Schizosaccharomyces pombe: one gene and its partners. The gene in region 2 interacts genetically with the main gene of each other region. Each region holds a gene or a part of one and is shown on either strand. Other genes may lie near its edges. The genes, in order: shy1, bzz1, pzh1 and meu10.

Evidence for each region.
Region 1: mutations in bzz1 (region 2) and shy1 together harm fitness less than expected from each alone (positive genetic interaction), as found in Schizosaccharomyces pombe (one large-scale study listed by BioGRID).
Region 3: mutations in bzz1 (region 2) and pzh1 together harm fitness less than expected from each alone (positive genetic interaction), as found in Schizosaccharomyces pombe (one large-scale study listed by BioGRID).
Region 4: mutations in bzz1 (region 2) and meu10 together harm fitness less than expected from each alone (positive genetic interaction), as found in Schizosaccharomyces pombe (one large-scale study listed by BioGRID).

The regions. Positions count from the first base shown.
Region 1 is NC_003423.3:1,503,133-1,511,959, reverse strand, and holds shy1 (cytochrome c oxidase assembly protein Shy1), read right to left. Parts: upstream 6,863-8,827; 5' UTR 6,543-6,862; coding exon 6,283-6,542; intron 6,200-6,282; coding exon 5,587-6,199; 3' UTR 5,549-5,586; coding exon of another isoform or gene 5,441-5,548; 3' UTR 5,381-5,440; coding exon of another isoform or gene 5,162-5,380; 3' UTR 5,091-5,161; coding exon of another isoform or gene 3,972-5,090; 3' UTR 3,933-3,971; coding exon of another isoform or gene 3,671-3,932; 3' UTR 3,631-3,670; coding exon of another isoform or gene 3,194-3,630; 3' UTR 3,155-3,193; coding exon of another isoform or gene 3,036-3,154; 3' UTR 2,793-3,035; coding exon of another isoform or gene 2,654-2,792; 3' UTR 2,610-2,653; coding exon of another isoform or gene 2,577-2,609; 3' UTR 2,509-2,576; downstream 1-2,508. Other genes in the region: UBA/EH/EF hand domain protein Ucp8, read right to left, coding at 1-910, 956-1,079, 1,230-1,379; NatB N-acetyltransferase complex regulatory subunit Naa25, read left to right, coding at 2,577-2,609, 2,654-2,792, 3,036-3,154, 3,194-3,630, 3,671-3,932, 3,972-5,090, 5,162-5,380, 5,441-5,548.
Region 2 is NC_003423.3:2,463,219-2,470,181, reverse strand, and holds bzz1 (diacylglycerol-binding protein Bzz1), read right to left. Parts: upstream 4,155-6,963; 5' UTR 4,010-4,154; coding exon 3,971-4,009; exon of another isoform or gene 3,927-3,970; coding exon 3,900-3,926; exon of another isoform or gene 3,846-3,899; coding exon 3,782-3,845; exon of another isoform or gene 3,731-3,781; coding exon 3,610-3,730; exon of another isoform or gene 3,532-3,609; coding exon 2,495-3,531; exon of another isoform or gene 2,449-2,494; coding exon 2,092-2,448; intron 2,049-2,091; coding exon 1,784-2,048; intron 1,716-1,783; coding exon 1,697-1,715; 3' UTR 1,443-1,696; downstream 1-1,442. Other genes in the region: SPOM_SPBC12C2.04 (NAD-binding dehydrogenase family protein), read left to right, coding at 1-1,121; ATP-dependent RNA helicase Dbp5, read left to right, coding at 4,324-5,835; srm1 (spermidine synthase), read right to left, coding at 6,086-6,963. UniProt on the Schizosaccharomyces pombe protein: Plays a role in endocytosis and trafficking to the vacuole. Functions with type I myosins to restore polarity of the actin cytoskeleton after NaCl stress.
Region 3 is NC_003424.3:1,526,416-1,532,972, forward strand, and holds pzh1 (serine/threonine protein phosphatase Pzh1), read right to left. Parts: upstream 3,358-6,557; 5' UTR 3,097-3,357; coding exon 1,549-3,096; 3' UTR 1,150-1,548; downstream 1-1,149. Other genes in the region: SPOM_SPAC57A7.07C (homocysteine methyltransferase), read left to right, coding at 3,774-4,700; U3 snoRNP protein Utp14, read right to left, coding at 4,898-6,557.
Region 4 is NC_003421.2:1,865,466-1,872,758, reverse strand, and holds meu10 (GPI-anchored protein Meu10), read left to right. Parts: upstream 1-2,663; 5' UTR 2,664-3,028; coding exon 3,029-4,279; 3' UTR 4,280-4,979; exon of another isoform or gene 4,980-5,037; 3' UTR 5,038-5,843; downstream 5,844-7,293. Other genes in the region: DNA-binding transcription factor, CBF1/Su(H)/LAG-1 family Cbf12, read right to left, coding at 1-1,009.

The DNA of each region.
Region 1 (8,827 bases), 960 kb from region 2:
GAAACCAGATTTTGTTGCATAGTTGGTTCAGTCGGGTTATCGTCATATGCAAGTATGCTTGCAAGAGATTTACCTGAGAGTCGTAACTTTATAATTTCCATAGCTACAGCGAATTCATCTTTGTCAATATAACCTCTATCTTGAGTGTCGACTGTATCCCATATACGAGCAAGCTCTTCAGAGTCTAAATGAGATGCCATAAAAAAAGGTACCGCTTCACCGCCCACGATATATCCTTTGTTTTCATTGTCAATCTTAGAAAATAATTGATAAAAATTAGACCGATCTTCGGGAGTAATTAAGGCTTTTATATTAGCTTGAGGATCAATTGTTTGTGGGGGTGATGAGTACTTGTTGTCAACAGCAGATTGAGCATTATTATCTGCGGAAATCTCATCCAATTTAGAAGACTTGGTAGAGGATATGCTTTGTTGATGAGAGAGTTGCTCAGTATTCACTAAAGATGGCTGAGTAACACCTTGTTCAATATTTGTATTCATTGCTGGGGTTTCACTTTTTGCGGATTCAATAACATCAGCGGGCAAAGAGCGTGGAAGATGAATCAAGTTGTATTGTTTACATATTGCAACTAAATGTCTTGCAATAACGTATTGATACATTTCAAGGTACCCAACATGGGCAGAATCAGCAAGATTCCATATTTGAGCGAGTACGGCGTAATGAAGTGAAGATTTTAAAAGAATAGGTTTTGCAATTGAACTTGGCATACAGCCTGGCCTTGCTGAATCTTCATGTCCTCGAAGATTTTCACGAAACTCCTTTTCATATTCGGAACGCTCGTCCGGGTTAATGGGGATACGGAAAGGGGTAAAATCAGCCGTTTCTGAAGATGAACGCTTAATATGATGGTCGTCTTTAGCTTGTTTTGGTAAAATTGGAGGATCTCCGGCTGATTAATGTTAGAATATAGCTAACTATTAACGCATTTTCATACCTTTATTATAATCTAGCTCTTGCAAAGTTGCTCCACGTTGAGCCTGAGAAATTAATCGAAAACAAGCATAAACCTGATTACGATCAAGTGATCCCTTATCCTCTTGATCACAATAATCCCATATCTAATAAATTGGCAGTTAGATATATATTTTTTCTTTTAGAAAGTGCAACGCTTTAATTTATAACATTCCACTCTTAGATTTAAACTCTAAACTTTAAGAGATAAAAACTGCTATCCCAAAGCTTTTGATTGAGGAATGAATTAAACATACCTTTGCTAATATCTTTTGAGGAAGACCAAACTTCAAAAGAAAAGGTCCAATAACACTTCCTGGGATTAAATCTTTCTGTTCTGGGTGGAGAGACTCAAGCAATCGGTCAAACTCCTGCTGTTCTATAGGGGATAACTGCAAAGGCTGCATATCCTATTTATGAATAAAAAAATAATTGCGGATAGTTAGATGTTAACAATTGTGAACTCTAACTCAATAAAACGTTTCTGATTTAAAACAAATACAAGTCATGAAATTAAACCTATCGGCGAATGTAACCTTTTATACAGAGAAAATAACAAAAAAAAAGCGCCTCTTTAAAGCCAAACGTTTAAAGAAAAATAATATGAAATTTACGCAAACAGGGCTGGATCGCGTAGATAGACTGAATTTTGGAAAATTAGAAGCAAAGCGATAAAGTCGGATCTCAAAGGAATAAAAAATAGTCCGTTGATTAAATTTAAAATACGCTAGTAATTCTCTAAACTTCGTCTGCGCTTTTCAACAATAATCAGTTAAACCGGCGGTTGGTGGAGAGCAGTTAATACTTGACAAGCATATCATTTACATCGCACCTCCTTAGTACGATTTATTTAACGATAAGTAACACCGTCCACGTGCTGACCAGCCTATTTGAAGAATAACGATATCATAGAGCTTACTGTAGGATTAATAAAAATATCATCAAAATGGGGAAAAAATTGAAAGATTATGAGAAGTATATGATTATTAAATAAAATAAAACTTTTAAGAATTGATACTGAGTTTTGATCTTTAAATTTAGTGGAGATACTCATTAAACAGCCTTATACCTAAATGAAAACTGAAAGGTTTACTGCGTTTACCTAGCATGCTTAGCAATGAATTAAAGGATTGCTCAATTACCTAGCTTTCTGAATATTACGCTAGCTTTCTACTCCCTTGCCATTGTAAAATACTTTTCTGGTCATCCCGCTGCTTTTCAATGAAACTGCTATTCATTGACAGCCTCTCAACAAAAGATGGGTTTCTCAAATTAAATGTACAAAAATTATGCATATTTTATATTTATTTGAGCACAAAATCACATTATATGACCATGCCGTGGATATACAACAAATTTTACAACACCAGGTATTTCTTTACGGCTTAAGGAAGTTTTAGTTATGACTGTAAATTGTACAGCTGTGAATATATTACTTAACCATAGTATACCCTTTAAACCAATGCAATTACACTTTTGCAGTAGATATATATCCAGATTCTACCACGCTGGCTATAATATTCTCCTCTGTAGAATAATAATTTGACTGCAACACCTACCAACTTCTGACTACTGTTTGGGCTTTAATTTCATTGCCTACTACAATGCGTCGTTCTGGGAGTAAAGAATCAACAATTGTAAGTAATCGAGTTATGTTTTTAGCTGTTAACATCCTTTTTAGGTTTATTCAGCGTTATCCTTGGCTCAGGCAGGACGTGGTCCCGAGGCTCTAGCACTTTTAGAACCGTTAAAATCGACTCCCATCAACAGCTTGGAACTTTTAGACATTATACAAGCTGTTTATGATGATCAAAAGAAGGGTAAGTATAATTAGGTTCTATTGAACAGATGAACATAAATGTTGATAGCACTTTGGTCGTATTTTTTATTTTGAATATTCTACTATTTCCTTGAGATAAAGGCTTTAGTTATTTGATCGGTTAAACTTTGCTTAAGAAAAACGATCTTTGTTCTTTTCGTAGCTTGATGATTCAAGTGCAACGTTTTATTTCTCAATGGACTTGTTTTTACCCTCTTACTTTTAAGTTATTAACTATTTGAAGGAGAAGAATCGTTTGTATTTTGGGAAAAGTTCTTGCAAACTTATGGAAAGCAGGAAAAAAACTTATTAGCTTACTTCAAAGCATCTATTCGCATCAAATCATTGTCTCACCAAAGAAAGGTAAGATCTTAATTTGTTTTTTTTTTACTAACTCCTCAGGCTGCTGTAGAATTGCAAAAGAACTTTCCTTCTAGGAAACATACCTTATGGGTTATCTCATCTTTGTATCTTTTGTCCAAAAAGTCGGAAAATGAGGTTGAACAACGTTTGCTGAAAGCACTAGCTGAAAAAACTGCTAAACTCATTTTCGAAAAACCAACAGGTTATATCGATTCTTGTGAGGAGTTTCATCTTTATTTAGACGTGTTGCTTTTAGTGGGAGACAAGGACAGAGCGTTAGATGCTTTAATACATCAAGATGCTGATCGCTTTGTTGATGCTGACGCCGACCTTCTTTTGAGGAAGCTTGAATTGCTTGCTTCCTGTGCGCGTTGGGATTCTTTATTCACGTTTTCGCTTTCTCTTTTCCAAACTGGGAATACTGATTGGAAGGTTTGCAAAGCTTTGCTGGATAGTGCTTCCAATGATGATTCAAAGTAAGTTTTTTTTTTTGCATTATTACTAACTTCTCCATAGATTAGTCCCATTAAAGGATTGTATATTGAAAGCGTTGTCAACCAGCAGCACAAAAAGAAATCTTCATTTACTTTGGATTGAAGCCAGCGCACGGTTTTTTCCTGAAGAACACGAATCAGCATTACTTGGCTATATCAAAAAGCTGTATATGAAACCAATTGTTTTTGAAGATTTGAGACCTTATCTATTGAAGCTGAATGTTGATGCACAACACCGGTTATTAGATGCATTTAAGTTGGCTGATCTAGGTGAATCCAATGAAGTAAGTATTTATTCATCTTTCAATATTAACTCGTCGTAGTCTCAAAAAGTCGATAAATTATATGCTGAGGTTTTGCTTCTGAAGATCCATTTTTTGCTCTTTGAGTCGTTTACTGCAGAATCGGTTGTCGATTACGTGCGTAGATGCTTCGTCGCATTTGAAAAGGGTTTGTCTTTAAGTAAAGGCTTATTACCCACTGACTTTACGCACGGTTATGAAGCTTTGTTATTAGCAGTTCATTCATTGATATATATGTGGGAGGGGAATAAGGATTTAAAACCTGCCGAAAAACAAGCTTTAATTTTTGACGCAATCTGTCTTTTAGAAAAAGGCATTACTTATAGTCAACATAACTTTCATTTAAAGCTACCCCTTATTCGTTTATATCTTCTTCTTGATGGAGGCTTCCCTGCTGCTGCTAAAGTTTACGACACTATGTCCATTAAGCAAATTCAAAACGATACCCTTGATCATTATCTCTTGACTCGTGCTACTACCTATTATCCATCTTCTGTTACTTCTCACTATATTAACTCAAGTCTCAAAATATATGGTTCGAATGAGTTTGAAACACCAGAGATGATTTCTATGGCTTATGAAGATGGTGCTTACTCTCAAATCGAAGATATGCGTAATTTCCGATCCCGTTTAGACCACAGTACCTGGAAAAGCATTTCTTTGGTCGAGCGGGCTAGGATACATTATCTTACCGCTTTTAAACCACCCAAACAGTATCTTCCCAAATGTTCATCTCCGAAAGATAATCGAGATTTAAAGGTCTTTGCAGATTATGGATCTGATAAATTGCCAACAGTTGAAGAAAGTTTAAGAAATTCGCCTAAACCGGACACGCTTTGGATCCATTTGACTGTCATTGGTCATTCTCTCGTTCAAGACAGCATAGTAAACGGCGATTTTGAAAAGGCCGTTTTAAGTGCTAAGGAAATGGAAGTTTTGTGCGAAAACAATGATTTATCGAAGCAATTAACTTCGGAAGAAATTGTTCATATGAAATTATTGATCCAACTGGGATTACTTTCGGTAAAGGTCAAGAACGGAGACTACGAAAATTCCTCGTTCGAAACGATTGAAAATTTAATTGAGTCATTCGATTATGAGAACTCCACGCCTTTAAGTCAATTGACAAAGTACACTGAAGTAAGTTTACCAAACTGGTTTTTTTTTTTAAAAAAAATGATATAAAAATTTCTAAACTAACCGAATTATAGATCATAAATGACCTTATCACTTGTCTAAACAGCTTCCTATATCACGTGTCAGCTACCAAGAAAAAAGAATTTACCAGACAATACCAACTTCTTAAAAACATCAGCAGTAACAAATTAGGAAGTATCTCTGGAATTACGAAGCATAAAAAGAAGGCCGCCAGAAAATATGTATCAGAATTGTTGTCAAACTCTTGGCTGAGCAATTTATCTGAAACTCAGGTACGTGATGATTATAGAGCATTAAAATTATAGGCATGAGAACTAACTTCCTAATAATAGGTTCCTTACGATCCGAAGTTTGCAAAACAAGTTGGTGAAGGAATGATCGATTCATACATTCAAACGACGGACGCAGTAAGCAAGCTTCCAAAATTTGTAAAATTTTAGGTAGATAATATTTAGAAACTTATAAATATGAAAATTTTTTATAATCGTTTGTTGTTTAGAATCTTGCTTCTTTCGTATGCAGAATTCAGAGAAGATGTGCCTGAACCTCTCTTAAAATAGACGTAAAGCATTATAGCTGATACCACACTTAGAGAATACCAAGTGATAATATATTCTGTATGACTGTTGAAAATTTCAACTTTTAGAGGATGACCAAGAGGCAAGCCTCTCTTAACATGATCGGCTTCTTGCAACGGTGTAAGCGATGGTTGTAGTTCTGTTATCAAAATGGGGAGAGTTCCTTTCAATTGTGCAAACTCACGAACATTTAAGAAGTAAAAAGAATTTTTTTCAGGCTCATTCTTCATCATAAATCTTGGCTTATCAGTATGTTGTCTCAAAAGACCTTCAATGACCACTGGACCTTTAGGTAAAGAACTAGGATCTCGAGAAGACTGTTCAGCAAATGATCGAGCAATCCATCCTCTGTTGACTAAAATTCGACGCCCATCGTCTAAAATAAATGGGGTTACTACGTGATAGCCAGGTTGGCCTTCCTTCGTTCTTGGACCGACCAACATTTCTTGGTCGTGACAAAACACACCACGAAGCAAAACCCTAGTCCACTCAAGTTTTTTTGTATCTTGCTCTCTAAGTGATTATGTTAGCTTAATGTAAAAAACGACAGTTCAATTGCAAAACGTGCAATTTGTGTATATGTTAACTTAACGTACGTAACAGTTTTCGGTAATAAAATTGCGGGCTGTTGAAGCCTTTCCGTGAGTGTATTGATGATACCCATTTTCCATTCTCGTCGCTTTACCTGCCAAGTTCCTAAAGCAAACGTGACAATTGGAACGGCAGAAAGCAATCCAACTAAAAATTTATTTTTTTTAGGCCTCACAGTTGTTCCTTCAAGAGTACTCAAATAGCGAAAGACACACGGTCCACGCTTTGAGAATGTGAATTTAGTAGCACTTTTCCACCAAAACATGATAGACAGGAATCCAAGATTCAATCGAAACAAAAATAAAAAGAAAAGATTAAATCCTAAAAGGAATCAAACAATTGATATTTATATTCAATTCAAAAACTTTTAAAATGTTGCAAAACGGAGTTAACTTGAATGGCCTCTACTAGCAGCAAAATCCCACTCAGGTCTTCTGATACTACTGTAAAGCGTAAGTAGAATAGGGCAATTGACTAGAATCTTCTAAGCGAAAACGGAATATTGCTATAAAGAAATAAAATTTTCTTAGTCAAATCCTTCGACAAGTAAGATACTGTTCAATACGGGGCCAGTTTGTTGATGTTGACAGCTAAGAGAGACGCGAATGTCTAAGTAGGTACCTTTGCGTATTCACTCCAAGCTTCTACAAGTCACATGTCTTTTTTAAGTAAAGGAAGCGAAATCTGCGCTATAGTTAAATAATATAATAGCTTAACATTTGTTATCTTTCGATAAAGCAATATATGTTCTTACGACGTATGTTTTAAAGTAAACAATCGTCTTTATTAGTATGAAACTATGAATTGGTTTTTATGAAAAGCTAGTTGAGCAAAATTAGCGGTTTGGATTCGACATCTGAATAGAATTTTAGTTAAACTTGCTCCCACACTACTTATGCCCAAAGTTTTACCGAAGTTGACAGTTTAATCAACAATTCCTGAATTTGCTTATACTTGGTGTATCCTTTCTAAAAAAAAACTAGAAGATTTTTGTTACTGTACTTGAAAATACCTATTATAATCTGTGGCTACAACATCACAAGGTCAGAGTCTATACCCATTGTTCTTGGCTACAAAAGATCAAGTCCAGAAGGAGCTATCCATAACCAATATTACAAGGCATGCAAACATATTTTGAGAGTACATCATGACTTGTTAGGCAAGTAGTAAGAAAGACGGATATAAAAAAATAGCCTACAGCACCCCGGATTCCCATGTTGTCTCCAACCATAGTACTAACGAGGCCCTCAGACGCTTAACTGCAGTGATCGGACGGGAACTGGTGTTTTCGCCTAGGTATGGCCGTAGACATTAAACATTCTAGTTTATAAATTATAAAGGTTAGAAAAAAAGTTTACCGGTAGTTTATAAGTTGTTTGAAATTAATGGGTAAAGGTTTTTGTGCTTTTATTTTAGTTTATTGCAAACATAAATCAGAGCTTTAAAGTTTGTATTTAGTATAACCATACATTAAGAATTGCGAAACAACTGCAGACTCCAAATTTAGACTGGAAAACGTCTTACTCGGAAAAGAGATTTTGCTGCTATTTTATCATTATTAACACTCACTTTGCTATTAACGTTACAGTCATATTAATATCATACCCAAAAATTTGAAATCTTTTTTCCGCATGAAAAAGAATATAATATAATGTATATGCCTCCACTCGGAATCGAACCAAGGATCTTCGCATTACAAGTGCGATGCTGTACCACTAAGCCATAGAGGCAGTATCGTCGGAATGTATTTATTAAATTATATATACTAATGCTAGTTTTAATACTCGACAAGTTGGCTGGTCAAAAAGTAGTTTCTTAATCTGCTGTTACTGATCGCTTTCGACAATAACAATTAAATAATAGTGCAGTTTATTTATTTAAAAGTCTTTTGTTGACATAGGATTTTGTTCAAGATAAATGGTTGAATATAGTTTAGTAGAACTACAACCTGCAATCAGGCAAAAAGCATGAACAAACTAATATAGCTCTAAAGTAAAAAACTATTTGAATCATTTGCTATACAGATTATTAGGCACCGACCCTTCAGTTATTTGACTACAAATGTTAACATGTCAATAAGTTAGGCATTCTCTGGTTTTCTTGATGTAAATAAACTGACGACATGTACCGTATCTACGTAAGAGCAATTAACGAATACTGTAACCATTTCTTATAATGCTTAACAATGTACGACATACCGCAGTGCACCCAAAAGTTTGAGTAAACTAGTACAAAGGTGTTTGGCCTCCATACACCTATGGATGTTCAAGAAAAGGCGAAAACCTAAGGATCAAATAAGTTTTTGATTAAATAAATTATATAAGGGTATTTATAAACTTACATCTATGAATATTAAACCCACAATATGAGAGTATGCAAATATGAGACGTTTCAAGAATTTAGCTGATTTTTTTATACATTAAAAAAACGTTTCATCCTTTGTCAATATTCTATAAATTTATCCTCTGTTGTTAGAAATTCGAAAACTTGATGTTTAAAGGTACAGCCCCTCTGTACGCGGCTTTATGATATTAAGACACGCACCTCGCG
Region 2 (6,963 bases):
GGATCTTCAAGATCGCTATTGTTGGCGCCGGTGGCATTAACTTTGGTACCCCCGAGGGACCTTGGAACAATGCCCAGAGAGTTGAAAAGGTGTTAGGAAAATCACTTCGAGTAACTGCTCTCATCAACCCCTTAATTAACGAAAGCGAGCGTGTTTTGAAGTCTAAATGTGCATCTGACGTTGCTTTCGCTTATGAAAACACCAAGACGTATGTCTCTGTAACTGAGTACTTGGAATACTTGGATTCCCATCCTGAGGATGTCCCTTCTGCTTATCTCATTGGCATTCCTCCTGATTTCCATGGCTGCACAACTCCGGGTATGGACATGGAGTTGGAAATTTTAAGAAAATACCCCAATGCTGCTCTATTTATCGAGAAGCCTATTACTAGTGCTCCTGTCCAAGGTGCTTTTAACCTCGTACATGAATTGGAGAAATACCATGCTATCATTTCAATTGGTTATATGTTCCGTTATTTAAAGATCGTTCAAGCCGCCAAGAAATACGTTGCCGATAATAACTTGAACATCGCTTGTACCATTGCAAGATATAACTCTGCTTACGAACATAATAACAAACTTTTCTGGTGGTACATGTCAAAGTCTGGTGGTCCCGTCGTTGAGCAAGCTACACATTTCTGTGATTTGTCCATCTATTTCGGTGGTGATGTCGATACTTCTACCGTCAAGGTAAACCGTGTAAACTGGTACGACCCTTGTGGAAAATTAGCTAAGGTTCCTGTTGACGAGGAGTCCATTCCCAAAGAGGAGCGCATCCCCCGTTTCACCGCTGCATCATGGAAATATAAGTCGGGTGCAGTTGGTATTCTCGCTCATAGTATCATTTTACAAGGAACGAATTATGACACTTGTCTAGAGCTTCAAGCAGATGGTCATTATGTTCGTATGGTTGACTTTTACGGTCAACCCAGACTTTACATTCGTTCTCCTGAGGCTGATAGCGAACGCATTATTAATTTCCCCGAAGATGATCCCTATTATAATGAATTTGATGCTTTCTTGGGTGTTGTCCAGGGCAGATATCCTCCTAGCCGCATTTTGTCCAAGTTTGACGACGGCGCTAAGACATACGAGTTGACGAAGATCATTACGAATAATTAAAGTATAGAAGAATTGAACACACAACTTTTTTTTCCTTATATTTTCACCATTTTGGCTTTTTTCTCTTTTTCGTTACCTTTCATGAAAGTTTTCCCTTCGTTATCGGGAATGTTTTTAGACTTAGTTCCAATATCACATGTCGTTTATATGTTTGTTTCAATTTGCAGATTACTTTTGAAAATGTACGATGACATATCACATCCTTCGATTCCTCTCTGTTGTAATGACAATGTGTTTGTATGTATTCGTTAAAAAATTGTTGATCAATTTTCTCGTAACGCGAAACTGTATTCTTCAGTAAACATAAATTTTGGTTACTAACGAAAAAAATATAGCATAGTTCAATTTAAAAAATTTTCCTTAGGCATAGCATTTAGTATAGTTATTATAAATATCTAAAATTCAAAAAAAAAAAGATCAATCTAGCAAAAAAATACTTTGGTGTATCGACCAACTACATTGTAGTGGATAAAAAATCGTAAGTTATTATTGACAATTTGCTTTTCGTAATACATAAAGAAGGTAAAATTTATCAACAATGAAGTAGATAATATTCATATAGATATTTCAATGGTTTATACATCTGTAACATAACTAAGACATATGTTAGTTTTTGTGCAAAGAAATGGAGAAATGAATAAAAAAAAAAAACAAAGACTTACTTAGCTGGGAATTGACCGGTCACTCCATTAAGTATCCCTTCAGACCATCCGTTTCCAGCGTTTCGATTTGTGACCTGAATTATATCACCCTCTTGGATTGATAATTCCATATCGGATTGAGCTGTGTATGCATATAACGCCTTAACATAAGAAGAATCTCCATCAAGTGTCACACTCGTATTTAATTCATCATTCAATTTAACATAAGAAGCTGGAATCAAGCCATCAGTTCCATCGATTTTTACTCGAACCCAACCAGAGCCATCTATATTGATCTATTAGAATGGGATTTTTCAAGCTTTACTTACCATCTGGTTCAAGTAGCGTAAATTCCTGTCCTTCAGAAGCTGTGATTACCCCTTCATGTTCCCCGGTAAAATCGTAAAGAACTACACCGTCAACCTTTGACGCTGGTTCAGCAGGCGTTGTTTCTTCTGTTTTCACGTTGCTTAAGGAAGTTTGATAAATACTACTTGAATCCATATCATCTGTGTATGTGTTACGATAGGATTCATAGGCATTTGAAGACGACGCAGAAGCATCAAAATCATCAGTGGCAGTAACACTGGTATCTACAGCATCATCGTCGGCCACTTCGGGCTCACCATTTTTGCAGTTGGCGGGAACAAGAAGTTCACACCTTGCATGGCATTTGAAGCCACAATCTACACGTGTTTTGTTAGTTAACGAAAGAAAGCAAATATTTCGTACTTTTGCAAACACATCCACGCTTCGATAACCCCCAAATAATTTCACGACAGTAACTGCAACTTGTCGGAAGTTTAAAACTAACATGTTTGAAATCATGAAAACGACCTCCTTCTTCTAAATTATTCGCAACTGACGTGATCTTGTTGATACGAACCTCTAAATCTTCTATTCTGGCCTTTACCATGAGCTCTTTCCCTTCTAGATTTATCGAAGCCTTTTTAGATTCAAATGACTGGTTAGCACTATTTGGATCATCGACGCGTAAACCTTCCAATTGTGAATCTAACGATACAAGCTCGCCTTTCTGTTTTCCAAGGTCATTTTTGGAGTGGACCAGTAAATTTCGGAGGTAGTTTTTACATGAACCATCCACCACCAGTGCATCCGTGTCATGCCAGATAGGACTAGGTTCAAAATGCAAGTCAGCAGGAAGTGCCCAATTCTTTGAATTGTGCCTTCCGAACATGGCAGAATCAAGGACTGGTTCATTTTTTGCAATTTCTGATTGAATTTCAACGGTTCTTTGGGATAAGGTATCATGGAGAGACTTTTCAATTGAAAAGCTGTTACACCATATTTCATTTAAATTCGAAACCCTGTATTCGTTCAATACTTGCATATGATTAAGGAGCGTTGGTAGAGTTTCATTATAAAACTTTTGCTTGTGGGCGTTGTATACAAGCATACGAAGTAGGTATTTATTTTTCTTATCGAGCATATCACTTTCAGATAATTTTAAATTTCTTTGAGTTTTTTGCTCTCGATATTTATCGTTTTTTTGCCTTGCGCTTTCTAAATCATCGCAGGCCTCATGGTAACTGACCTTGGCTCTCTTCACACTGTTTAACAATGTCTCCTTTTCGGATGAGAATTTTTTATATAAATCATCATAAACTTTTCTTAAAGCCTCTATATGAGACTCTAGTTTCTTCAGTTTTTCAGCAATGTCCAATGAATAGTCATCGGATAGCTTTTGATGAGTTTTTGATGAGCGCGTTAACTCATCCAAAATTTTAGACCATGTTGTTAAAGAAGCACTATAAAATTAGCCTGTGAACAGGAATTCAATATCCATCTAACTTCAATTGCTTGACAGGTTCCAATATTTTACATACCATTCTAAAGAGCCAGCAGACATTGCCGGAGTATCTCCGACTGAAAGGGCTGATGATTTTCTGGATTTCTTCTCCCCATATTTATTCGAAAGACTGGCTAATTTCTGAGCATATTCTTTTTCTAGCAACAAAGTTAGTCATTGAAATTTAACCATTGTCGTTTCTTATTTACCAATAGAACTTCTTTCTTTGTAGTACAATTGAATATCTTCAAGCCATTTCGCGCCATTATTAATCTTTGTTACAATGTGTTAATTGTTGAACTGTCTTCATTTTCATTCTTGGCATACCCAACTGTCGACAACTTTAAAATCGTCCTTTTATATATTAGTAAATATGCCAAATAACTAAAACACCTTACGTGAAGTTCATCACTAAATTTGTATGTTTCCAGGCTCATTATCCAGTATTATCTACACGTTTGATATCGCTGCAATAAAAATTTGTACCGGATATAAAACAATTAAAAAGAAAGTTTGACGGAAGAAATTGTGACAATTTTTGGCTTTACGTTACGAATGTTGATGAAAAGGAAGTACGGTGGTGAATCGAAACCTATATTGTTCAACTTTCACTTAAGGAGTAACTTAGCAATCACCAACTACATTGCCCACCAGAAATTGTCATCCAGTTTGCTAAGTCATCCTTGCTGAGTTTGGATATCTGAACTATAAATTTGATTTTTTTTATTTTTTTTACTAAAAAACATCCAAAATGTCAACTACACTGGGACAGGAAAGCAAAACTGACTGGGCTAGTTTGGACTCTGATGAAGAGGTTCAAAGAATTAGTGATAAAGTCAATCAGTTAAATACTTCAGAAAATAAAAATGAAGATCAAAAAGCAACAAATTTAAGTGACAGATTAGGTCCAAAAATCACTGAGAATGTTGATGCAAAATCTGAGCAAGACAAAGCGACCAACACGATTGCAGAGGACGCCAATACGAAGCAATCTGAAAATGATGAATCTAATTTAATACCAAATAAAAACGAGGTTCGTGTAAAATTAGCAGATCTACAGGCTGATCCAAACTCACCTCTTTTTTCTGTTAAAAGTTTTGAAGAGTTGGAGCTCAAGCCCGAATTATTAAAGGGAATTTATTCAATGAAATTCCAAAAACCCTCAAAAATTCAAGAGAAGGCGCTTCCACTTTTACTCTCAAATCCTCCTCGCAATATGATCGGACAATCACAATCCGGAACTGGTAAAACCGCTGCATTTGCATTAACGATGCTTTCTCGTGTTGATGCTTCTGTTCCCAAACCTCAAGCTATCTGCCTCGCTCCTTCTCGTGAATTGGCCCGTCAGATTATGGATGTCGTGACGGAGATGGGCAAATATACTGAAGTAAAAACAGCTTTTGGTATTAAAGACTCCGTCCCTAAAGGTGCAAAAATCGATGCTCAAATTGTAATCGGAACGCCTGGCACTGTGATGGATTTGATGAAGAGAAGACAGCTTGACGCTCGCGATATTAAAGTATTCGTGTTAGATGAGGCAGACAACATGTTAGATCAGCAAGGATTAGGAGATCAATCTATGCGTATCAAGCACCTTCTTCCTAGAAACACTCAGATTGTTCTTTTCAGTGCTACCTTTTCGGAACGCGTTGAAAAGTACGCTGAACGTTTTGCTCCCAATGCTAATGAAATTCGTCTGAAGACTGAGGAGCTTTCTGTTGAGGGAATCAAGCAGTTGTATATGGATTGCCAAAGTGAAGAACATAAATATAATGTTTTAGTGGAATTATATGGGTTATTGACTATTGGTCAATCAATTATATTTTGTAAGAAAAAGGATACCGCTGAAGAAATTGCTAGGCGTATGACTGCAGATGGACACACTGTTGCTTGTCTTACCGGTAATCTGGAAGGTGCACAACGTGACGCTATTATGGATTCATTCCGAGTAGGTACTTCAAAGGTTTTGGTTACTACGAATGTAATTGCTCGGGGTATCGACGTATCGCAAGTCAACTTGGTTGTAAACTATGATATGCCTTTAGATCAAGCAGGAAGACCCGATCCACAAACATATCTTCACCGTATAGGTCGTACCGGTAGGTTCGGCCGTGTTGGAGTAAGTATCAATTTTGTTCACGATAAAAAGAGTTGGGAAGAAATGAACGCCATTCAAGAATACTTCCAACGTCCCATCACGCGAGTGCCTACAGATGACTACGAAGAGCTTGAAAAAGTTGTCAAGAATGCACTTAAAATGTAAAGCATGTTGATTTTTAGAGATTATTTAATACATAGGTTTCTTGGTACCAATTACTAAAGGAATATTATTTACTTATGCTGGTATTTCACTGGTTTTTTTGCATATCAACTACCGAAAGAGAACGTAATCTCACTTACAAAAAGTAGAGAGCAGAAGTGTGAAAACAAAGAAAAAAGAGTATACATTTTGACTTAAGATTGCATTGATTAAGACGTATGAAACTTTAGCCAAAAAAAATAAAAATGTTTGCTTAAGAGGAGGTAGCCTTGTCAACGACATCACGAGCAAAGGTAGGAAGAACAAAGGAAGCAGCATGAATTTCACTGTTATAGTACTTACAAAGCTTATTCTCTTCTTCGGGAGACCACTTGCGAAGAGGCTTGCTAAGGTCGATGGAAGCATCCTTGGAGGCTACAACGAAGCCGATAGATCCAGAGGGATAGGTGGGGATAGTAGTGTATGCGTAACGAACATTGGGGAAAACTGTTTTAACGGCAGTCAAGACATTGCTGATGACACCCAAATGAATCCACATACACTCAGCTTGAGTAGTAATGACACCGCCTCCACGAAGAGCATCGGAAAGAAGTTGAAAGTAAGGTTTTTGGAACAAGGCTTCGGCAGGACCGTCAGGATCGGAAGAGTCTGTAATAATCACATCAAAAGTATTTTGATAATCTTGCAAAAATTTAAAACCGTCACCAATGTGTACCTTAACCTTGGGATGATTGAAACCTGCGGACATCTCAGGAAGGTATTGCTTGGAGACTTTAATGACATCTTCATCAATATCGCACAAGATAGCCTCTTCGACACATTCGTGTTTGACCACCTCACGAAGTACACCGCCATCACCACCACCAATAACGAGAACTTTCTTTGGGTTGGGGTGACTGTTTAGAGCAAGATGAGCAATCATTTCTTGGTAAGAAAACTCGTCGCGCTCAGTGGCTTGAATAGCACCATCCAAAACCAAAACATGTCCATAAGTTTCACTCTCAAAGACCAAAACATCTTGATACTTTGATTTTCCTGCATATAAAACCTTTTTAACCTTCAAGGTCATGGCTTGACCAGGCCACATGTTGTTGATCTCACGAAACCAACCATCTTTAATAAGAGGATGAG
Region 3 (6,557 bases), on a different chromosome or scaffold from region 2:
AATTAATACAATTTATTCCCAATCAACTTATTTTAAAGACGAAACAGTCAGTAGAAAACAAGCTCTCTTGAAAGATACTTTGTATCTGATCAAAAGAGGTAAATACTTATATAATATTGAAAAGTATCATTGTACTGTATAAAGTTATATAATAAGAACTTAAGATATTTAGCTATATAATATTGTAAACATAAGTCGAGCATTCTCTTGCTCGTTAGATTTCTTATATTATTCAGTTTCAGCAGCTTAAAAACAACATCCTCTATCTTTAAAACAACTTTTAAAAAAGAAGAAAATTCTCTTTATATCTTTGCATAGTATCATACATGGATTATCAGGCATGACAATGAATCTGATAATCGATTATATTTCTACATTGAATCTAAAAAAAAAATTAAAAAAAATTCATTTTACCCTTTACTACGTAGGGTCATTTGTTTTTCCAGTCACAATGGGTCTTTAAATAAGCCAAAATCAAGACATTCTTCTTTTCTTTAATGGTTATGAAAGTCGAAGCACCATGTACCGTTATGTCTCATTACAATTAACTCTGCTTTAGTAGTGTCAAACAGTGTAAATAATTGAAATAAAACGGTTTCTGCATAACATTGAAAGTATAAACTGACAGCTTGCTTTTTCTCAATTCCATTAACATGATATAAAAAATTATATTGACGAAGGTGGGGTTCGAACCCACGCCCACATACGTAGACTAGCAATTGCTTTCACCTGAAGCTAGCGCCATAGACCACTCGGCCACTTCGCCATAACTACTGAATTTTAGAAATTTAGTGTATATATTACTAAACACTTTGAAAGAGCCATTAAACTGTAATCTTTAGAGATTATGTGTGCCTTTATTTAATATATCTGAATTCGTTACTATTCTTCGAATGATTCATTGAACCTTGAAATAATGTGATAAAATATCTTGATTGAACGAAAAAGCTGACACAAACAAAACAACGCAGGAGATTTATCAAAGAACTGCCTACTTGGCAGCATTATGCAACAAAAGTAGCTTACTCATTATACAATAAGGAAACCAAAATACTTATCACAAATGGATCATGGAAAGAAGTACTTAAGTACGATACCACATTCAACTTTAGTTTTCAAAGTGTTGTTTTAAGCCCATCGTATGGGAGATTAGTAATTGATAGAAGATTTACAAAGAAATGGATACATTTTCGCTTTAAATTTATTTAATGCTAATAATAATACTATAATAATTGTTTATTTCCTCCTCATGTAAATTTTTTACCTACTCTTTCGATGTTCAGCAGGTGTCGGTTAGCAAAAATAAAAAGCAAGTTAACTGTCACTATATGGAAATGATTGTGTTTTTATTAAAAGAAACAGAAACTTATACTAAACGTGTCAGGATGGAATTGCCCTCGAACCGATAAAGTGAACCAAGGACTTGATCCATCACCATAGTGACTATAACATAATAACAGATAATACTCATTTAAGAGAATAAAATAGTGTCCCAATAAAACCGCTAGATAATTTCAAATGGAGACCAAAATAGAAAAAATAGAATGCTTACACGCTTTGGGTAACCTGCTCAGCAGGGGGAGATTGATAAATAGCCATACCACTACGCTTGCTCTTTTTTAATTCTCGTCGAATTGCTGCCTGGTCGAGAGGCTTTATAAGTTCAAAGGAACAAAGCAGCTCTGAATTAACACTCATCACGGCCCCCCAATTATCAAATTCCCCACAGTAATTAGGGGCAGAAAACACCGTACATAAAGTTCTGTCATTAAAAAATTCATAACCGTCTTCAACAACCATGTGAGCACGACAGATTAAATCAAAGTCGTGCTTGGCCAAAAATTGCCGGATAACGTTTTTGTTGAAAACAAAAGAAACACCTCGTTCATTATCTTCCCAATCGTTTTCAGTATCAGCAGGATCTGACCATAACAAATCATTCAGCAATCCATAGTCAGGAACGTCAGTAGGACGAGGAATCTCCCGTATGTCATCCATATGACTTAACGATGGAGAAAGACCACCATGAACGCAAAAAATTTTACCGGCTACAACGGACGCAATGGGTAAGCAATTAAAGGTGTTTATGAAAGTCTTCCAAATTTTGATATTGCAACGTCTTTTACACTCATCGTAAAAACCGTAAACGCGAGTGATATTAGCGCATTCATGATTGCCCCGTAGCAAGAAAAAGTTTTCTGGATATCTGATCTTGTACAAAAAGAGCAAGAGGATGGTTTCAAGACTCTGCTTACCACGATCGACATAATCGCCTAAGAATAAATAATTAGAGCTCGGAGGAAACCCACACATTTCAAACAGTCGAATTAAATCGGAATATTGACCATGAACGTCACCAACGATTTTCACCGGCGGGGTCAATTCTAAAAGTGTCGGCTGCGAAAGAAATATTTCTCGTACGGCCATACAAATGCTGGTAATTTCAGCATTCTTTAGACACACACTTTTACTACTTTTTCGAGAATAGCCAACATGGATCAATCTTTGAATCATTTCATCTACGTTAAGGCTAACAACTGTTTCAGGATCATCAGGATCCGTAGAAGAAATTGCCGAATTAGGGATAATTACGGGCCCCTGCTGATCTTGTGGATACACAGGACCATTATGCTCAGAAGCTGAATCAAAGTTGGAGCCAATTGGGCCAGAGCTGGTTGGTGAGGTAGGTGATGTTGGAGAAACGGCATAAGAAGAAGAAGAAGAATGATGATGATGATGCTGGGAAGCGGCCGTAGAGGGACTAAGCATGGCAGGCTGGTTAGAAGGATGCGGCGACGTCGGAGATTGAGAAGAATTTCCCGAATCCTCCTGTTGATGCTTTTGCAACACAGCCGGAGATGTAGCTAATATCCCAGGAGAAGGAGGAGGAGGAAGGCTTGGTGGTGTTTCGGGATACCGGTGACGACTATGGGTTGTATCAGTAGACGTTCGGCGATCATGATTCGAGTCTTTGCCCTTCCCCAGGACTGTTTTCAGAGACTTTAAAGACTTAATGGATCCTTGAGTGTCTGACCGAGAAAAGGATGGGTAGGAATCGAGCTTGCTGTCGGCGTGTTTACTGCTCCCCTGTCCCATTGTATTTCAATTAATGGTAGATTCCGGGAAACTATTCCACTTTGTTCTATTTTTATTTTCTTTTTTACTTCAAAATCGAGACTTCGTTGCTTGCATTTAGTGCCAAAATTAAAAGGTTTCCCAATTGTACCTAGATTTTTTCTATTTTTCGATATTTTCCGTAAATTAGTAGATTTTCTCTTCTTCAAGTAATCCTGGTCTATAAAAATGTTTTGCTTTGCTGACAAAACACAATCGTTTAAAAATTTGTAAGGTCGTGGTGAAGAATGGGTTAACAAGTGATGGGAAGTGTAGTATAAATCTGATAGACGTAGTAGCCCGTTCCATCTTACTCGAGAACTGAACTCGCTGGGTCCATCTAGTGTGGTGCAACGATGATGGCGCACTTACTGTATAATAACTGCAGTGTATTCCAAAGTAAAATAAAAGGCGCAATTGATCCACGTAAATTAACGTTAAATTAAATATGGAAAAATTTCGCGTTACGTTATATACTAGTCTGATTCTTACTCAAATGTTTTTGTTTTGGGTCGATTGGGTTTCTGATTGTGCGATATTCTCTAAACTGTTGTAATATCCATCAAAAGGCAGTTACATCTGTTAATACTAGTGTATAACCTGAGATACCATTTTTGCTGTTCGTTGAACTATTTTTCCCAATTTTTGAGTTTTCCAAAATGCTTATGTTAGACGGTGGCTCTACTGCCATTCTTCCAAAGCTTCCTGAAAGTATATCTGAGTCTAGATTATGGACCTCTGAAGCACTGGTGCGTTATCCAGAGATCGTTGTTAAGCATCATGAAGAATTTTTAAAAGTTTGCGACATTATTAGTACTTTCACTTATCAACTGGATGCTTCTATCTACGACGAAAAGGTAGAAGGTGTACCATTAAAACAGGTTTACGCAAACAGCATTGGGTTACCTGTTTATGCTAGAGAACATTTGGGTTTGCCCAACAAATATATTGCTTTATGTCTCGGAAGTCATGCTGCTACTATTCCTGGATGTATGGAATACAAAATGATTTATGATAAACCCACCGATTTTGAAATGCTATACAATTTTCATAAAAACAGAATTGAAGCCATTCAAGCATCTAATCCTAAAGCTTTCGAAAAAATTGACTTCATTGCATTTGAAAGCCTTCCTCACGTGACTGAAGCAGAAGTAGTATGCCAACTCATTCAAGATATGAAAGGTTGGTCTAAGCGTTGCTGGATCACCTGTACGTGCCCTGAGCGCAGCACTATTGAACGAGTATCGTCCATTATCTCCAAGATACTGAGCATCAATCATGACTCTATATGGGGCATCGGTGTTAATTGCTTTCACCTCAGTTTACTCGAACCCATCGCAAAAATGCTATCCAGTCTTTTACCATCCAACATAACTGCTATTTTGTACCCTGACGGCCGCGGGTTGTATCAAAATCCAGACGGTACTTTTTCACCTGGCTCAACAGATCATCCTGCCCCTTCACCTGAAGAATGGTCAACTATAACGGCTAAATACTCAAATCTACATAATGGAAACCTGATACTCGGTGGATGCTGTGAAACAAATTATAATCACTTATCTTTACTCCGGGAGAAAACGAAGTAAATTATAACCATTTTAATTAATTTTCCTCATGATATTAATATATTTGTATTGAATTAATTTTTTTCTTGTTTAAAGTATTTACCTCAAAATATATATTTCTTCCCAATATCCCAAAATCCATTACAAATGTATCTAATCTACTGCAAAAGATATCAATCTAATAACAAAAATCCAAAACTCAATGTACATATAAGAATCTAATTAGGTGCCTTAATAGGATTAATGACTTTACCACGTTTGGTAACAACTCTGGGAGCAACAGCCTTATGATGTGAAGCTCGAGTAGTCCATTCTGGTCCCATAGGCAAGTTAAGAGATCGTTCATACTGTTCTCGTGATTCAAATGGGAACGGAACACTATCAGCAGTAAGCTTAGCAGCTTTCTTGTTGCGTTTTTCATTAATAATCACATGCTTTAGCTTAGAATCCTTCCGCTTTGACGGATCTAGTCCAGCAATTTTTTTAACCTTAGGCTTAGTCTTTCTTTGTTTTACGCCAACACCTCCCCATGAACCCCAACCGGGCAAACTATGATCTTCTTCTTTCGGTGCATCCTCTTGAACCCAGTCTTCTTTATCCTTTTCAAATTCAGCGACAACATCGTCGCCAGCAAATGCTTTAGCAACAAGCTCTCTCTGCTTAATTGACAAACGACCTTTGGTTGGCTTTAACATAGGTACCGAAACATCAACATCCGATTCCGCTTCCGACGCTGATTCAAAAGCCTTTTCTTCAAAAATTAAATCAGGCTGAACTTTAGGTTCTTCGACAAGTTCTTGAAGGGAGGCAACTTTGTCCATTTTTAACTTGTGATTCTTTTTGTCTGCCTTAGAGCTGTTTTTATCCAACTTTTTGGCAGAAGAGGTCCTTTGGTCAGGTACTTGCAACCATGGATTAGTTTCCTCAGTTGCTTCTAATGGTGATTCCTTTTTTTTTCGAGCTTCGGCCTTCTTTTGTCCTTCCTTCATTTCCGGTTTGTTGACTTTCAGCACCGCTGAATCAGAAACAAAGGGATTTTTCCTTGATGGCAAAGATAATTTTGCAGCTTCTTCGGAAGGCTTAAATGAACGACGGCCTGTATTATTCCCTATTAATACTCCAGGAACCCCGTCCTCTCCTTTTTGAGATGTATCATCTTCATTGGGTACTCCTGCGAGTTCGTCTTCGAATGCTTGCATTTCATCTTGCACTAAAGCCTTTTGTCGATTGGACGCATCACGCATAAATTTCATGCCCAGTACACCTTTTAACTTTGGTTCCTCTTCATTTCGTATTTTTTCAAAAGCGGTTGACACCTGTTCATTTGTGTCATAATCGCTATCCGAGAACTCAGAAACATCTTCTCCATCCATTTCAGATATCTCTTTACCATGGATACGTTGCATAAGCTCGTCTCCTTTCCGTATTTGCTCATTGACTGCTTCACGGGTTCCTTCACCATGTGACGCCCTTTCAAGCATTTTACGGGTCCAAGAGCTTGTGTTTTTGTGACGTTGAGTCATTCTTTCCAAAGCACGAGCTTCTTCAGATTTAATCCGTTCATTCTCAAGATCCTCTTCACTCTTAGGAATTAAAGCCATTTCTTTTTCTTTACGATTCTTTCTGATCTTCCTGTAAGTTTTGCTTTTTATTTTAGCAACACGTTTGGCCTTTCTTTCCTCACGGAACATTAGCTCTCGCATAAATCGAAGCTGACGAGTTCTTTCAGCAACTTCTTCAACAGAAAGTTTATTTAAGGCTAATTCTTCTTGTTTTTTCAGCGCTGATTCATTTTCAAGACCTGCATCTAGTAAAGCCTGGTGCATCTTTCTCTCAGATTCAGTCCTAGGCTCAAAGCTAGAGGCCAGTCCATTATTA
Region 4 (7,293 bases), on a different chromosome or scaffold from region 2:
CAAATGGAACACTCGGAGAATAAGGAGTAGGAAACCTTGAGGACGGAGAAGAGATGTTGCTTTGAGCAGCCTGATAATCGTTTAAAGAAATAAAAGAATTTTGATACTGACGGTAATTATTGACTGTTCCCAGTACAGAAGCTTTTTGTGGTGGTTGTAAATTTTGAGATTGAGAGGGGATGCTCTGCTTGGAAGTTGAGGCATAATATTGATTTGGAGAAGAATTACGAACAGAATCAGACGATGGAACATTGCTGTTCATGTTGACCTTTAATGCAGAGGTAGGTCGAAAAGAGGGGACCGGATGAGCAGGAATCAGAGGTTTCCGTTGTAACTCATAAGGATAAGAGAATGCATATTCATCATGATTTGGGACGGGTTGATGAGTTAGGCCTTGCGAAAGGTCATGCTGAGAAGAGAATGACGGAATAGTGGTATTAGAGGAACCATTTTGTTGTAGATTTTGATAATCTTGCATTTGGTTTAAAGATGGGGACTGAGTAGGGAGAATATTTGAGCCGGTAAAGGAATACGCATTGGGTTGAGAGGAATGGTCAGGAAGGACAGAGTAATTGTTTTCAAAAGTTGCTGGCGGATAAGGATGCATCTCATTGGAAGGATTCATCGTTGTATAAGGTGTGGAATAGGTTTGGGTGTTATCCTGTGAGTCCTCCTGAGGTAGACCAAAAGAATGAAATGAAGGATTAGCAAATGCTGTGCCATCTGCGTTCAACGCTTGAGATTCGTTTTTTTCCGAGTAATACGGACTCACTGAAGACGTGGAGTGGGCCTTGGAGCTACTGATGGCGGGTGAAACCGAGTCTCCATAGATGCGAACGGGTTCCTGTAAAGAGGTGGATTTGGCGAGTGAATACAATTGTGGAGACTCTAAATTAGCATTGATGGATCCTATTGCTGTAGCGACTCTTCTTATGTTCCTAGTTGAATCATAAAACTCCTGTGTTTTAATATCTTCGGAAGAAGGACGTTTCTGAACGTTTGGGGACATAGAATTTGACGAAGGTGAAAAGGATGCAATCTATTATATCCGTTTGGAAATTTTAAAACTTTTAAAACAAGCCTTTCACCTCTACAGCTGAATTTAAGAGATCCGTGGACGTTAAGTTTAAAAGTTCATGTACGCGCAATGTCTGGTATTTGATGAGCTGAGATCACTTAACTTTCCCTCAACATTAATTGCAACGAACAGGATGACCTATCAAGGGTAAAAAGTAAACTATTTAGCTAGCGTAAAGGTTGTTACAAAAGTGTTGTGTTTTCGTACAAAGTCAGGAACCAAATTTCTTAAGTCAATTCATTAATTTTTGTAGCAGTCCTAATCTTCCTTTTTTTTCTTTTTATTATTTACATGATTCCCTAATTCGGAGAAGTAAAATGTTAATCCGGTATTACTTGGATATACAGCCTTACGACGTTACCGAAAAATCGTTAAACAACATGTACTTTGGTTTTTCCGATTTTGCCTATAGCACGAATTGAGTGTGATATTAACGGGAATACCACTGAAAATAGAACGGCCAACAACTGTGACTTCGCAAAATTTTAACTGTTGGATGTCCAAATGGTGCAGAATGTTTTCATACCAACCACGCACGTCCACTTAGTATTCCCAGGATGGTAAATTGAAAAAATAAAATGCACGATAGGATAGGTAAGCCTCTTAGCAAGACCGAAGATTTGGCTTCCGTTGGTGACATTCGAGACTCACTTTGAATATTAAGCAGATGAAGTTTTGCCGCTTCTTAAATTCCTGATAGCAATTACGTACAAATTTTTTTGCTTGTCGGCGCCTTTTTAGGTCCGTTGTCGGTTGACACCTCAACGATGCCAATTCTCGACTTTTGAGCTTGCGAAGGAGATAAAAATGTTTTAAATGAAAAGGTTAAAAAAAAGGTTTAAGATTTTAAAAAATTTAAAGCAAGCAGTTTTCGGGAATCAAAATAATGTATGATGAGGATTTGCAGCGAATCCTAGATCCAACGGATGAGTCCTATTGATTAGTCAGTTATAATAATCCAAAGTAAGTTTTTCCAGTTATGTTCAACTTGTGCAGTTTTACGTTGACATAGCAAATGTTGGTAATCAACGAAGTAAACACTCTCAACATTCAACCAGTCAAGTTGAGCATTGTAAAATAGAGACAATCCGTGGGTCACTTATGATCAACTTTCCTCCGCAACGGACGCTATACCCCTCAATGGGATAATGTTACCTCGTGTAGAGAAAAACAATGAAAAAGTCGATCGCATGACGTTGCTGACATTGTTTACTAACATTGCAAAGTAAATAAATAAGTAAACAATTATACCAAGTAGGTTTGTTTACATTATGAAAAAAAAAAATTTTAAAGAGTTGCGTTGATTACTTTCTTGGTATTTACTCTCGTTATTTTTCGCTGTTCATTTGTGTTTGTTATTGTTGAAAGTTGTTGTTGATGGTAGGTGTGGTGCAGGCTCAAGGCCGTATTTATAAATGAATTAACGAATGTGTGAACCGCATATAGTCCATTAACATACATTCAACTTATTACTTAAGATGTTTTTAGTAATTGGGGTGTATAAACCTGAGTAACTTTTACCATATTAAGATGAGTTGGGCGGTTTCGAAATCTATAAAAGGGCATGCCAGTGAGTAAACTACCTGGAAATAACCGCTACATTTTTATTCCTTTTAACAAAAATCGTATAAATAATCCATTACGAAGAAAGACTTCGCTCTGTCCTCTTTTCTTACCCAGCATATATATACATAAACTTTTGTTATATTAGCATTCGTTTAAGGCACTTTTTCTTGTCCAAACTTTAATCAACAAGGAAATCATAAACAATTAAAGGTTCATCATTTCCAAACCCTACAAAGACCCGAATTCATTCTTCAGTATTCATAATTTCATTTCCAATCCCTTCCTGCTACGACAAAAATTTTGGTCGTACTTGATAGATTTTATTGCTTTTATTATCCCTAACAACTTTTCCCTCCTTTATATTCATTCTTCATTTATCATAAAATGCGCTTGTCTTCACGCTTTTATTTGTTTACCAGTTTCACTGCGTGGAGCGTAGTGATCGCTGGTGCAACCCCAGCGGTTTGTGGTGCCCCCGAGTACATTATTGAGACACAGAATGACTTGGACGTTTTAAGCAACTGTCAGGTTGTGAATGGCTCTATCATCATGAACACTAGCTCAGCTACTTCTTTGAATTTCAATAGAATAGAGACCATTACCGGTGATCTCATCATTCGTAATAACAACTACCTTGCATCGGTAGCCCTGACATCCATTTCCAGTGTGGGTGGAGAATTACGGTTTGAAAAACTCACACGACTCGCTAGTGTTTACGCACCTCAACTGGCAAATGTTGGCCAATTAACGATGCGTATCTTGCCAAATCTTCAAGGGATTCGATTCGATAAGGGGATCAAAAAGGCCCATAAGCTCACCATCGAGGATACCCAACTCTCCACACTTGCAGGTATTTCTTTGAATACTACGGATACGATGGTAATTGTTAACAACAATTATTTGCGAGAAGTTGATATGCCCTATTTGGAAAGTGTGGAGTCGAAGTTTTACGTCTCTTACAATGCCAGGGAGATCAGTGTTACCCTTCCTAGACTTAAAACCGTGGGTGACATGACGATTCAACGCGTAGCTCACTTACAACTTTCGAATTTAGAAGAGGTCAAAGGATTTTTAGGCTTCCTCAACAGCACGTTGCAGGATATATCATGCCCAAACATTACACGAATTGGACAGTCTCTTTTCTTTATAGGCAATCAGGAATTGACTTCGCTAAATTTCAAGCAACTTGAGAGCATTGGAGGTACTTTTATGATTGCCAACAGTGCAGCATTGGCACAAATCAAAGGATATGATAAATTGAAGACCGTAGCAGGATCCATCGACTTTACCGGTAACTTTAGCAGCGTTGAACTTCCCAAGTTACGAGATGTTAAAGGAGGTTTGAACATACAAACTACATCGAGCGACTTTACTTGTCCCTTCCGCCAGAGCGACGGGATCATCAAGGGCAAATCGTTTGTTTGCCGAGGATCGGTTGACAATCCCAGACAAAGCAAGGAGTCTTCTTTCGATGATGACGATTTTGATGAACTGTTAGGAAATGGAACAATTAAAGGCTCTAAGAACAGTACATCACCGGTCAAACAAAGTGGTGCCGCTAAGGTAGATAGCCGACCTTTCCGTCTTGTTACCTTTTTCCTTGTCTTAGTAAGTGGCTTTGCGCACTTGCTTTAAAGCCAAGAGAGACAAAGTTGACAATGTAAACGCAAGTTCATTTGCAAGATCGAAATCTACCCTTCAAAGCCATGCCGTCTATGATTAACCTGTTTCTATTTAAAAAGTAAATAAATGCTTTCAAAATAATTAGAAGGAAGATTTTCAACCAACAAGGATTACAAAAAAAAACGGCGATAAGTTTCGTTGCTTCATTTTGGATCACTTTACTATTTGCTGTTCCTTAATGGACACAGTGAAATGACGAGAAACCGGTTTTCAGTTGTTTTGTTGTGAGTATGGATAGTGAACACTTTTTCTTACCAATGGTTGGCTTTTCCTCGGTTTATTTATTTATTTTTTAGTACGGTTAGGAGAATGAAAAAAAAAAAGTATTTTTAGTGACTCCAGGTTCTATTGGCTTCTTATTTTTAAAACAAAAATATTCATCATTATTCTTACTATCACAAAACTACCAGTTATTATGTTTGTCTATCGATAACAGCACGCTACTTTTCTAGATGAATCATTTGTTTGTCTTGTTGTAGAGTAAAAGGCAATTTTTTACTAACAGTTAAACCCGCGCGTAGATGGTACTAATTTTATGCCATGAAACATATGATTTAAGTGGGATAAAAACGGAAGTACGAGAGCTGAACAATTTATCTGACAGGCATCCAAATGAATTAATATATAAACCAAGGAATGTGAAATTACATGAGTGAGTCAAGCATGCCTTTCGTCGTTTGTTTAGTCAACTAACAATTAGTGGTATTCAGAATGCAAAAAATATTTTTCTTTGTGTTGCCTCGGGTGTTTCAAGCCTTATCCATCCGAGGCACTCGTGCCTGTAAAAAATTGCAATCGGATAGAAGGAAGGTAAGGAAAGTGGATGAAATTTTTACGCGAATGCGGAGGAAGGCAAAATTTCTTGAAACAAAGTTGGTCGAACCTTGTTAAGTAGTAGAGAGTGTATATGAAGTATGGAAAAGAAAGAGAGAAAGGATGACTTCTCAACGAAAGATGAATTTGGCAATCACAAATGTTTCATATTTGGTTGTCAAGTTTAAACGACTTGCAACCGAGCCGATCACTGAAACAATTTCCAATGATCATAACTAAACGATCCTACTACTTACTGATTTGACGTAATTTGTCCTTTTGTTAATTTTTGGACGGTTTGGATCAAACATTTGAAGTTGCAAATATGATAAACTTACTGCTTGATTAAAAAAAAATAAATAAAATAAAAAAATTAATGATAGAACAACAATGATAAGAGAGCATCATTCATTATGAATGAGAATGTGTTTCATTGAAGCAATAGTTTTTGTGAACATACAAGGAGTGTTGTGATGAAAGAAAATGCAATTTGCCTTTCCAGTTTCTGATACTTCGTAAAGATGATGCTTTTTGGCTTTTGCTTTGTTTAAGGGTAACAAACTTGTGAATTGCCCAAAGCAGAGATGAATAATTTGAAATGAGTTTGCTACGAATTATCTGTATTTATGAATTAATGAAGGATGGATCTAAACCATTTAACAGGTGTAAATAAAAGCTTCATAGATTCTGTATAGTGATTAACAGTTTTTTGGAAAAATAATTTAAAAAAAAATTAATAATAATAATAATAATTTGGAAAAATAATGTTAGAATAACATACCAAAAATACCAGTATATTCAGACAATATGTTTTAAAACTTAAAAATGATTGTAGAGCAATGATTTTAATTATAGCTACGATTAGAAATGTTAAATGTTATTATAGTGTTAGTTTTGCGTTCGATTTAATTTTTGGTACACACGGGATATAACAGTTTGATTAAGCATTACCAATAGAGCAATGCAAGTTAAGAGGTTGTTTAAGCATGTTGTTGTCTAAGAGACTCACAAAAAGGTAGGTAAATGGATTTATTGCTAAACGGAAAATATTGATTTGAAAATTAAATTTTGGTCGTACATACTTTATTCGTAACAGATTTCATCAAAATTTTCACCTACAAAACATTGGAACTCAAAGTGTGACTGAATTCACAATAAGTAAATAATTACACTTCATAGCATACGATCCATTATTTTTTTATAGGTAAGGAATTTATTAAACTTTCCTTGATACCAATCCTCTTCACATAAATATTTATTTAGCGATCGCGTCGTTTTCCAGCGGACGTATGATTAATAGTTTGGTAAAATTGGTTTTTTAAAGCTTAGAACGGAACGGTTTAATATAACAAAACCACGAAACAATGGGTTTTTCGTTTTCCATCCTTTTTTAAAAAAGTTCATCACTCTCAACAGTGAATGCCACTCTCTCTCTAAAAAAAAACAGCGATTTGCTAAATCCTTTAGACAGGAATTACAGCTTCATCACGTAGTTGATATCTAGCCGTACACGTCTATTTACCCTCTCCATCTATCCTACCGTGAACTTGTTAAAAATTGGGATCGCCCGTTTTTTGTCAACAAAAACAAAACAAACTCTGTCGCAGTATTCATTAAAATGTCTCCGGATCCACACGAAAGCTTTAATGGTTATTAAAGGTTTTCATCATCCGTACATTCACTTGCTAAACAACGTTTTCAAGCTAAGCGATAGATAGAGACAGTAAAGGGGAAAACGTAAACGAACGTCTTCATTAACCAAGGTCATCCGTCTACAAAATACCCTGTACATATTCGCACCAAATTAGCGATAATGACTACAAGCGATCACAGTTGTCAAACGGGATAAACGAAATATATGCTTAATTTGATAAGACGACAAATTAAATCAAGCTCAAAAGAAGATTTATAAAGTACGCCATGCTAAAAAAAAACCCCTTGCTTCCTGACATCGTACAAAAACTAAACTGCTCACAAATATACTAAATAATAAATAAATTAGTTAACATCACCCATAAAGATATCAAATCTATTAGTTCCAAAGTCTCCTCTCAAATACAATAAATACTTTTTTTTATATATTGTCCTTGGGTCTGTAACCCACCAATATATTTTTCCTTAAGAAAAGGAATGCTTCAGTTGGTTAGTGGGAA